Linked DNA regions of Rattus norvegicus. The protein of the gene in region 1 binds, or shares a complex with, the protein of each later gene. Links are inferred from orthologs where the notes say so. Each region holds a gene or a part of one and is shown on either strand. Other genes may lie near its edges. The genes, in order: Fmn2 and Spire1.

What was found.
Region 2: the proteins of Fmn2 (region 1) and Spire1 are in contact, whole or in part, in a crystal structure (PDB 2YLE), measured with the Homo sapiens proteins. The link is inferred for Rattus norvegicus from reciprocal best matches to the Homo sapiens genes FMN2 and SPIRE1. Residues at the interface, in NP_064450.3 of Homo sapiens: Ser1702, Leu1703, Lys1705, Ile1706, Lys1707, Pro1708, Arg1709, His1710, Gly1713, Ile1714, Lys1715, Lys1717, Ile1718, Lys1721, Thr1722; in NP_001122098.1 of Homo sapiens: Gln51, Pro52, Ile53, Asn54, Glu127, Ile131, Tyr134, Lys135, Asp138, Leu141, Lys142, Glu143, Asn144, Glu145, Glu146, Arg147, Glu148, Glu154, Ile157, Asp158, Ala161, Asn162, Thr163, Val164, Glu165.

Annotation. Positions count from the first base shown.
Region 1 is NC_086031.1:88,985,479-88,989,936, reverse strand, and holds the start of Fmn2 (formin 2), read right to left. Parts: upstream 3,075-4,458; 5' UTR 2,863-3,074; coding exon 1,296-2,862; intron 1-1,295. UniProt on the Homo sapiens protein: Actin-binding protein that is involved in actin cytoskeleton assembly and reorganization. Acts as an actin nucleation factor and promotes assembly of actin filaments together with SPIRE1 and SPIRE2.
Region 2 is NC_086036.1:63,438,522-63,443,120, forward strand, and holds the start of Spire1 (protein spire homolog 1), read right to left. Parts: upstream 3,014-4,599; 5' UTR 2,810-3,013; coding exon 2,524-2,809; intron 1-2,523.

The DNA.
Region 1 (4,458 bases):
GGTGCATAGACACAGATGCATGCAAAGCAAACATATACATAAAAGTAATAAAATAAAATAAGTGTACTTAAGCAAAGTATTTACTACAGCTTCTAGCCAACCACGAACCCATCTGCCCAGCCTCCCATCCCTGCCTCTCAAGTGCTGGGATTGCAGGCACTTGTTACACATCTAAATGATAACATGTTTATTATAATAACAACATAACGGATTTTAATTTCCATTTAAAATTATTGAATTTTCATGTATTTATCTAAAACCCATGAGCACAGGCATCGAATGCTGCTGTTTTTCTCTCTGCTCTTTCAATTACTTCTTCAAAAATAATATGTTAAATGGGAAACCCACTGACATCTGCAGTGAACCCCTTAGGAGATGCTTTGCAGCTACAAGAAGAAATAATGATTGCATTTCAGCCCAGGAAGCTGATGCTGGCTGTGGTCTCTCCCACAGACTGCACCTATCATAGGTGCAGTCAGTCACCTAAGGAAGACAGTACCAGTGGGAGCCGCCAGCTTTCAGTTGCCCATCTGTAATCTTTCCACATCCCAGCTTTCTCTCACTGACTCGCAGGTCGTCAGCAAGTTCCCTGCCTGCCTAGGCAGCTTAGTGAAACCCTTTATCAAAAAAAAAAGAAGGATCTCAAAAATCTGAGGACATAGCTCAGTAGTACAGTACCTGCCTAGCAAGCAAAAGGCCCTAGTTTCAATCCTTAGAATCATAAATAAATAACACCTTGCTAATGGTCTGATTATTTATTCATTTTCTAAGAGCATATATCATACTTGCTTGCATTAGCAAAAAGGAGTTATCACTTAACTTCGCAAATTACCTGTGGGGGGTACCCAGACCACTACATGATAGAAACTATCTTTGAGGTAGTCAGACATAACCTTTAGAATGTATTAGAAGAACTGTTGTGTGCCTGCAATACAAATCCTTGGGAAGGTCTGTACACAGTTTTAACATTTTAAAATGACCGAGGTAACAAGCCACAAAAGGGGTTAATATTCTTAGAGGAACGCGGGGAGGGGGGGGTGGCAGTGAGCATAACTGTCCTCTCTGAGACGACTCTGGACAGACACCTACATCCCCCCACCCCCCTCACTATCCTGAAAAGAGAATAGAGAACCAAGCACACCCAAGGCTTTGAACTGAGGAAAGGTGCCTGGCAACATTAAGATCTCCAAAAAGCCGGCCAGGGCCTTTCAGAACGTGGAGGGGGCGGGGTGGTAGAGAAAGGACCTGATTGGCAGGCGACCTGCCACCCGGAGATACGTGGCAGGCGCGCTTACCTGTGAACACATTCTGAAAGCCATCAGCCGTCGCTGGAGCCCCAGGTGCCTTGGCGGCCAGCACAGGGGACCCGCCACCACTGTCATCCGCAGTAGCCCCGCGTCCCAGCAGGTGCACCGAGCCTCCTGCCCCAGGCGTACGGGCGCCTAGCTCCTCGGTCCAGTCGGCTGAGCGACTGAGGCCGCCCACGAGGCCACCTTCCAACCGGTGCTTCTTTGCCGGGGTCGCAGCTGAGGCCAAGGCAGTTCTGGGGCTCCGGCTCACGGAAGGGTCCGGTCGCTTTTTGATCCTAGGACTCTGGTTGGGGGACTGGGATGGGGAATGATTGGGCGAGCTGAGCTGCCGAGTGGTGGTCTTGATGTAGCAGGGGGTGATGAGTGGGTAAGGTTTGAAGCAGCGTGGACTGGGCGCAGGGCTGCCAGGCAAAGAAGCGACTGCGGGGATAATGGGTCCTCTCATCCCCTCCTCCGGCTCTTCCTCCAGTCTCTGTGAGGCTTCTTCCACCTCTGGGGCCCATTCCTCCCCTGGAGAGCCCCGGGGAGCATCTTCAAAAGCATCTTCCTCGCACTCCTCATCTGTGTCCCCAGTTCCAGCTGGGGGGACTCCGGCGGCGCCCTCCCCTGGCCCAGCCTCAGGAACCTCAGGAAAGGTGAAGGCTGGTGAAGAGAGCGTGTCTGTGACTGCGGAGTGGGCGGTCGCATAGCCCGGTGTCTCAGAGGCCAAGTGGCTTCCGGAGGACGGAGGATGCTCAGGCACCAGAGACTTGGTGGTCTCAGGCAAGTCAGGTCTCACCGGTGGTGCCTGTACGGTGTCCTTTTTAGCCTCGCTGCTAGTTCCCAGCAAGAACTGGTCCAGGCCCAGAAAGGCCCCAGGCTGAGGGGAGATGGCAGTGGGGGGCGCTGCAGGCTCCTCGGAGTCCTGGAGCAGCAGCTTCTGCTGCTGCTGCTGTTGCTGCTGCAGGCGAATTGCCTGCTGGATGTCTGAGAGCAAATCCTCCTGCTCCGTTGCGGAGTGAAAGCTGTAGATGTCCGTGTCCGAACCAGAACTGGTCCTTTGTCCATCTTGCGCTCCAGCCGCAGTTTCCAAATCCTCGGCGATCGCCTGGATCCCTACCCCAGCCTCGGCAGGCCTAGAACCACCTGGATGGATCACCTCGAAAGGGTCAGCACACTCGGTATCCGATAGGCCCGTCTCTTCAGCAGAGAGGCTGAGGTCCGGGGTCTTGGTGACTATAGAGTGAGCGCTGTCCAGCTCCCCGATCGGCAGGGCCTGAGAGTCCAGCACATCCTCCCGCGAGTCGCCGGCACCTTTCCCCTTGCCCAGATTTTTTCTGATCCGCAGGTTGGAAAACACCGAGGCTCTAGAATCCGACTTGCTCTTCTTCTTGCTGGTCTCCCCGCTGCCCCCTCCCCCCTTGCCGTGCTTGCCGAGCGCCTTTTTGCTCCCGCTCGCCTTCTTTGTGGTTTCCGCATCCCTGGGCCCCGCGGCATCCTCGGCTCCGCCGCCGCCGCCTTCGTGAGAGGCATCACCTGCGCTTCTCTTCAGCTTCCCATCCTGGTTCCCCATGTTTGAACCCCACTGCTGCGCCGCCGCGCCTTGGGGTCCTCAGGCCATCTCGGCCCTGGAGAGGGCCAGGGGAGTGTCCGGGACAATTCAGGCAGCTGGGCCGGCCGTTGGGAGGGGAGGCCGAGGAGCGCCCAGCTGGCCCCGCTCACATCTGCTGCCGCTTTGCATAATGCGCGGTGGCTCTCCCGGCTGCCGTCCCTGCGGCTGTGGCTGCGGCCCTGGCTGGCGGGCGCGAACATGCTCAGTTCAGCGCGCACTCCCCACCAATGGCTGCACAGGACTCAGCCTTGGCCTGGCTCCCCGCCCACCGCCGCCGCCCCCTCAGTGCCCCCTTTGGCTCCTCCTGCAACCAAGCAGGAAAAAAAAATCGTCTATCTCTAGGACTTCATAATTGGGAGTGGGGGTGGGGGGCAGCAGGAGCTATCTTTAAGTAGCCCAGACTAGATCGAACTTAGAATCTTTCTGACAGGTTATCTCTGGGACCTTAATCTCCACCTTGAAAATAAAACATGTTGCCCTCTTTTCAAGAACTGATATATTGGAATATTTTTATGAAAGTTCAAAGCTCGCAGACATGCAAAAAGAGAAGAAGAAAATAAACACACACACACACACACACACACACACACACACGCACACACACGAAAAATCGAAGCCCAATTCCAGGTCAGAAGTACCGTATCATCAGAAACACACACACACACACACACACACACACACACACACACACACACACACACACACACACAGAGTCTGCCTACTTCTGCATGGCTCCAGTTCAAATACTTGTTGAATGGACGGACTGTTCTGTCTTTTAAATACTTGACCATCGCTTTGCACACTCTAAGGTTTGTGAGTATGCTACTTAGGGCAAGGTTCCTTCCCTAGGCTCTGTGCCTGATACACAAGCCTCTTCAAGAACAGGACATTAACTGTCCTTTCCAAAGTGGGTTTGTGAGACCTTTCTGGACAGAGAAAAGAGAGGTAGGGGATGCTGGAAATACTGAGATTAAAGCTGATTAAAATGCTAATCTCCAAAATTCTGTGCGTTTACCATATAAATCAGACATTTGTATTTAAAAGGGGCGCATGTATTATAACTCCCAGGAGGTCAAACTCATCAATATTAAACGTGTCATAACCCGATCCCGTATAAAAAGGAAAAAGAAAAAAAAATGCCCTCGGTACAAACCCAGGAAATTAGACATTGTGCTATAAAGGATGGCCACTTTTCTCGAAGGTCCGTCCAAGCACACTTTGTCCAGGACCAGAGCTCCCTAAGTTTCAGACCTAGATATTAAACACTTATTCTTACTGTGAACTGTTGTCTTTATATTTTAATGACACTAAACTACAGTTTTTGTTAAACATCTTACAGCATCATTAGTATTTTAAAAGGCTGCAAACAATAAAAGCAAAAACAAAAAAACAAAAACAAAACAAAATAAACAAACAAACAAAAAACCATAAGTAGCATTTGTAAAAAATGTTACTCCTTGTTGGAAAATCCAGACAGTGATTACTAGCCTTTCTTAAACTATGATCTTTAAAACAAGTGTTTGCTGGGGCAGGTGGATTGTTGTCCTTAGGTGGCCT
Region 2 (4,599 bases), on another chromosome or scaffold:
CCAGTCTGATCCCCCTTGGAGTACACTCAATAAACCTGTTTCATTTCTAAACACCCCCCCCCAAAAAAAACCAAAAAACTTACAGAAATGTACCCAGTATCAAGTATCAAACTACTTTTTAATCACTTTTTTCTTTCTTGAGAAAGATTCGGGCTGGAGAGATGGCTCAGTGGTTAAGAGCACTGACTGTTCTTCCAGAGGTCCTGAGTTCAATTCCCAGCAACCACATGGTGGCCCACAACCATCTGTAATGGGATCTGATGCCTATTCTGGTGTGTCTGAAGATAGTGACAGTGTATTAATATACATAAAATAAATAAATCTTAAAAGAGAGAGAGAGAGAGAATCTATGCAGACAACCATAATAGACATTACTAACCACATTTTAAGAGCAAATTTAAAGCTAGAATTAATTGTACACATCTGCAGCCCAGTAGTTGGACTTAGGAAGTTGTAGACAAGAAGATCAAAGAGTTCAAGGTCAGCCTCTGCTCCACGAAAATGTCTGGGGCCCACTCAGGCTATAGAGGACCCTGTCTTAAACAAAATTCAACATTAAATGTTTAAAACTAATGTATTTTCTACAACCAAGGACCCAGTATTACATCCCAGGATGAAATAAACTATTATTACATTGACAATGAACAACCCTAAATATTTCTATTAAAAACTTTCTCATAAATGTATTTTTATTCTATTCTTTCTCCTGCCCCCATCTCTAATGCTTTAACCAACAAGCCCTGAGATGTTCCAGACTGTACCAACTACTCTGATTAGGTTCTCTTGGTATCTGGCAGCAGAGATCATGAGTTGGATAGGAGACAGAAGATGGTTAAATCCATTACAAAGTAGGGTGTGGAGGTCCATGCCAATGATCCTAGCATTTGTGAGGTGAAGACAGAAGAACCAGGAGTTCAAGAACAGCTTCTGCTGGAGTACAGGAGACTTAGTCCCCCAAAAAGGAAAATTAAATGTAAAATAAAGGCCTGGTGAGATGGCTCAGTGAGTAAAAGGCTTGCCTCACAAACTTGGCAACCCAAGTCTGACCCCCAGAACCCGTTTAAAGGTAGGAGAACAGGTGTGGCGACATTGTCCTCTGGCTGCACATGCCTTGAGGCAAGTGCTCCGCCACAAGATGCACTCAATTAACAATATATAGACATTTAAAAATACGTTTTAAAAAATTCATTAGTTTCTGGGAATCATCTATTTATTATTCTCTGCAAAATGTATTACACCCAATATTAATGATGCACTCATTTCATCGTTCCTCATCGTTCCAACAACAACAGTTAGAAGAATCACCCACAAAGAATCTATCGGTCTTTGACAGTCAAAACATTTCTGGGATCAAGTTCCTTAACAGTTCTTGATACACCATACAACCAGGCCTGCTCTTTCAATAGAACCAAAGATTCTTCTGAAGCGAGGTCGCACACACTCTCTCCTTTGGAAAGAGTTCTGGACCAAGACAAAGCCTCGTTGTTTGGGGGAAAAAAATTATCTTTTCATGGCATCTTATAAATAAGTTACAACTGAAACTGTAATCTACTAAGGCCAAGGTCTAAAATCAAGCAACAGATCAAATAAAAGAAAAAATGTTTGTTTGAAGGGAGAAAAAAGATTCAAAAAGATCATCAAAAGGTCGGCTTTAAATATCATTCGAGGTACACGTGTATGAAAACGTCACACGGTATTCTGAAATAGTGCAACATTGAGGTTATTAATACATCCCAATGGCTGGCTTTAAATAAATAAACAAAACTATGTTTACTTGAACTAAAAATGAGAGAATATTCTAGTAGGGCTGATAATACTGAACGTTTCCCTCAATTTAGAAAAGGATTTTCACGAAATGTCGTTTTACAGACTATTCTAATTACATTTTCCATCCTTGAGCATTTTGACACTTCCATCAACTTTCTAAAGGTGAAGGTGGATTGTTTTGCTATGTTTTGAATAGACTTGCTTCTCAAAGAATGAATTAGATAAAACCGGATAGGGGAAACCTATTACTAGTCTTCCCATCAATAAAGCATGTGAGTAAGCTCCTGGTAATGTGTCACTGTTTAGGTGACAAGTCATGAAGAATGTACGCGGACTAACCAAAAGCAATTTCATCTAAACAGCCTGTTTACTTCTTATAAACCTGTACTTTTCACCACAGCGAATTTTCACACAGGGTACCCGGAGTCCTCATTTCTTCTATTTCTCTCCAAAATAGCACAATTCTTGGGGGTTCAGTGGTTTCCCTACCATTTCCAAGGACTACTGACAAATTCAAAACGCTACGAAGGGCCAGCTCCTTTTCCCAAGGATGTCATCTTCCTGACCGAACCTCACACATGCATCTCCGGAGCCCTCGCCACCCCACCCCACCCCCACCTCAGCCCCCGGTAAACAGCCGAGGCCGGCGGACACGCACAGAGCCTCCCGGGAACCCGGGTCCCGCAGCCCCGCCCGCCCTCCGGGAGCCGCCCGCCAGCTTCCCACCGGGCCGGGGGCATCGGGCCGCGACCTCACCGGAGGCAGGGGGCGGCTCTCCCTCCTCGTCCGCGGCGGGCGCCAGGGTGACGGCGCCGTCCCTCCAGACGCGGATCTGCGCGGCCGAGCGCACGCGGCGGTGGGGCTGGCGGCGGGCGGCGGCGCGCAGGGAGCCGCAGCACTGGAAGCACACGGCCCACGCCTGCTCCTCGTTGATGGGCTGGTTGTAGAGCCGCAGGATCTCTTCCAAGCTCAGCGCGTCGCGCGGGTCCCCTGTCGCGCCGAGCTGCGGCCCCTCGCCGCCCGGGCTTGAGGGCTGCGCCATGCGGCCCACGTCGCTGCGCCGCCGGCGCTCGGCTGCCGCGTCTCCTCAGCGCTGGAGCATCGTCTCTACGAGCCGCCGCCTCCGCATCCCGGGCTGCCGCCGCCCAGGCCGGCTGCGCGCCGCCGCGGGGACTAGGCGGGGACACCGCGGCGCTCGGTGCTGACCAGCACGCAGCCGGCCGGTAGCACGGCGATGGCGTCCACTAGCCCCGCCCCGTCTCGCCTCGCCCCGCCCCTTCTTGGGGGCCGCGCAGCGGAGCAGTGCCTGGGGGCGTCACCCCCGATGTGAATGACGCGCGGCCGAGCAGGGCCTGGGGGCGTCACCCCCGAGGTGAGTGACGCGCGGCCGAGCAGGACCTGGGGGGGCGTCACGCCCCCTCCCGATGTGAGTGACGCGCGGCTGAGCACGGCCTGGGGGCGTCACCCCCGAGGTGAGTGACGGGCGGCGAGGGGCGACCGCAAGGTTGGGGCCCGAGCCGTGGTCCTGCAGGCGTCTGGCCGCGAAGTCGCTGTCACCCGTTCGGCTCCCACAGTCTATTTAAGAACTTGAATTCAATCTGGGGCGATTTATCAAGAAGAAACGGTCATCTGAATCACCCTCGCCACTGGCTGCCCAGCGCTTCCAGCTTTGGCCTGCGAGCACAGGCCCCCTGGGTCCTTTGAGACTCGTCTGTTTCTCAGGACCATTTGACACATACTATCTCTCTGCACATCTGCAAAATTATTTAAATATATTTTCCTATTCATTTATTTTGAAACAGTCTCCCTGGGTAACCAAACTGGCCTTGAACCACCATGTCCCGCTACTTCTTCAATGCTTCTTTAGTGTTGGTACTCTCTCCACTCAGACGTTCAGTGAGGACAACGATCAAAGGCTTGCTTTGCCAAATTCTCCGAAAGCCTAGATCAGGGCCTGAGATGTGATGCACAAGGCCTTACAGATTCAATCTCCCCTGAGGTAATAACCACACTCATCCTAGCCTAGTTAACCCAGAAGGAATTCGAGAAGGAATAGGTGTCAGAGACAAAACTAAGGACAATTATCTGGAGTACAAAAGAACTCTAGGGGCCTCTCTGAACCCCTTCCAGTGTGCGATTAAAGCTAATAACTCTTTAAAATGTCCATCCAATCATGGATGGTTTTAATTGGTAACATTCTACCCAGGCTAGCCTTCGAAGTCCTTAGAGTTGTAGCATCAACCAAGTAAGAACATCGTAGTAGGTACAATTTTATGTGGAATGTGGGAAATGGCACCCTACAGTTAATTTTATAGTAGAAAGTCATTAAGGGTTAGAAGTTGGCGGTTAAGGAAAAACTCAGTGGACGCCTTTTGTTTTCAAGGCAAGAGATATAAAACAAGCTCTTCAAGAAAAATTACTTAATTATGGGTTCATAATCTCAAATATAAAAATGCAGTATTTAGGGCCAGTGAGACGGCTCAGCAGGTGAACGGACTTTGCTGCCAAGCTGCAGCCCATATAGTTGAAGGGGAGACTCCACTCCACGTGGTTGGTCTTTGAACTCCGTGTGTATGTGCACATACCCAATACATACAAATATGTAAAAGAAAACAAATGTAGTATTTGTGTGCCAAAACTCTGAGGCAGAGGCCTTTCTCAGTCCTGTGTGGGAGACTAATACATACTAGGATTACTATGATAATATTAATACATACTAGGATTACTATGATAACATTAATAATATATGATATATTAATATACCAACATAGCCAAATTTTGCTTTTTTTTTTTTCCGGAGCTAGGGACCGAACCCAGGGCCTTGCGCTTGCT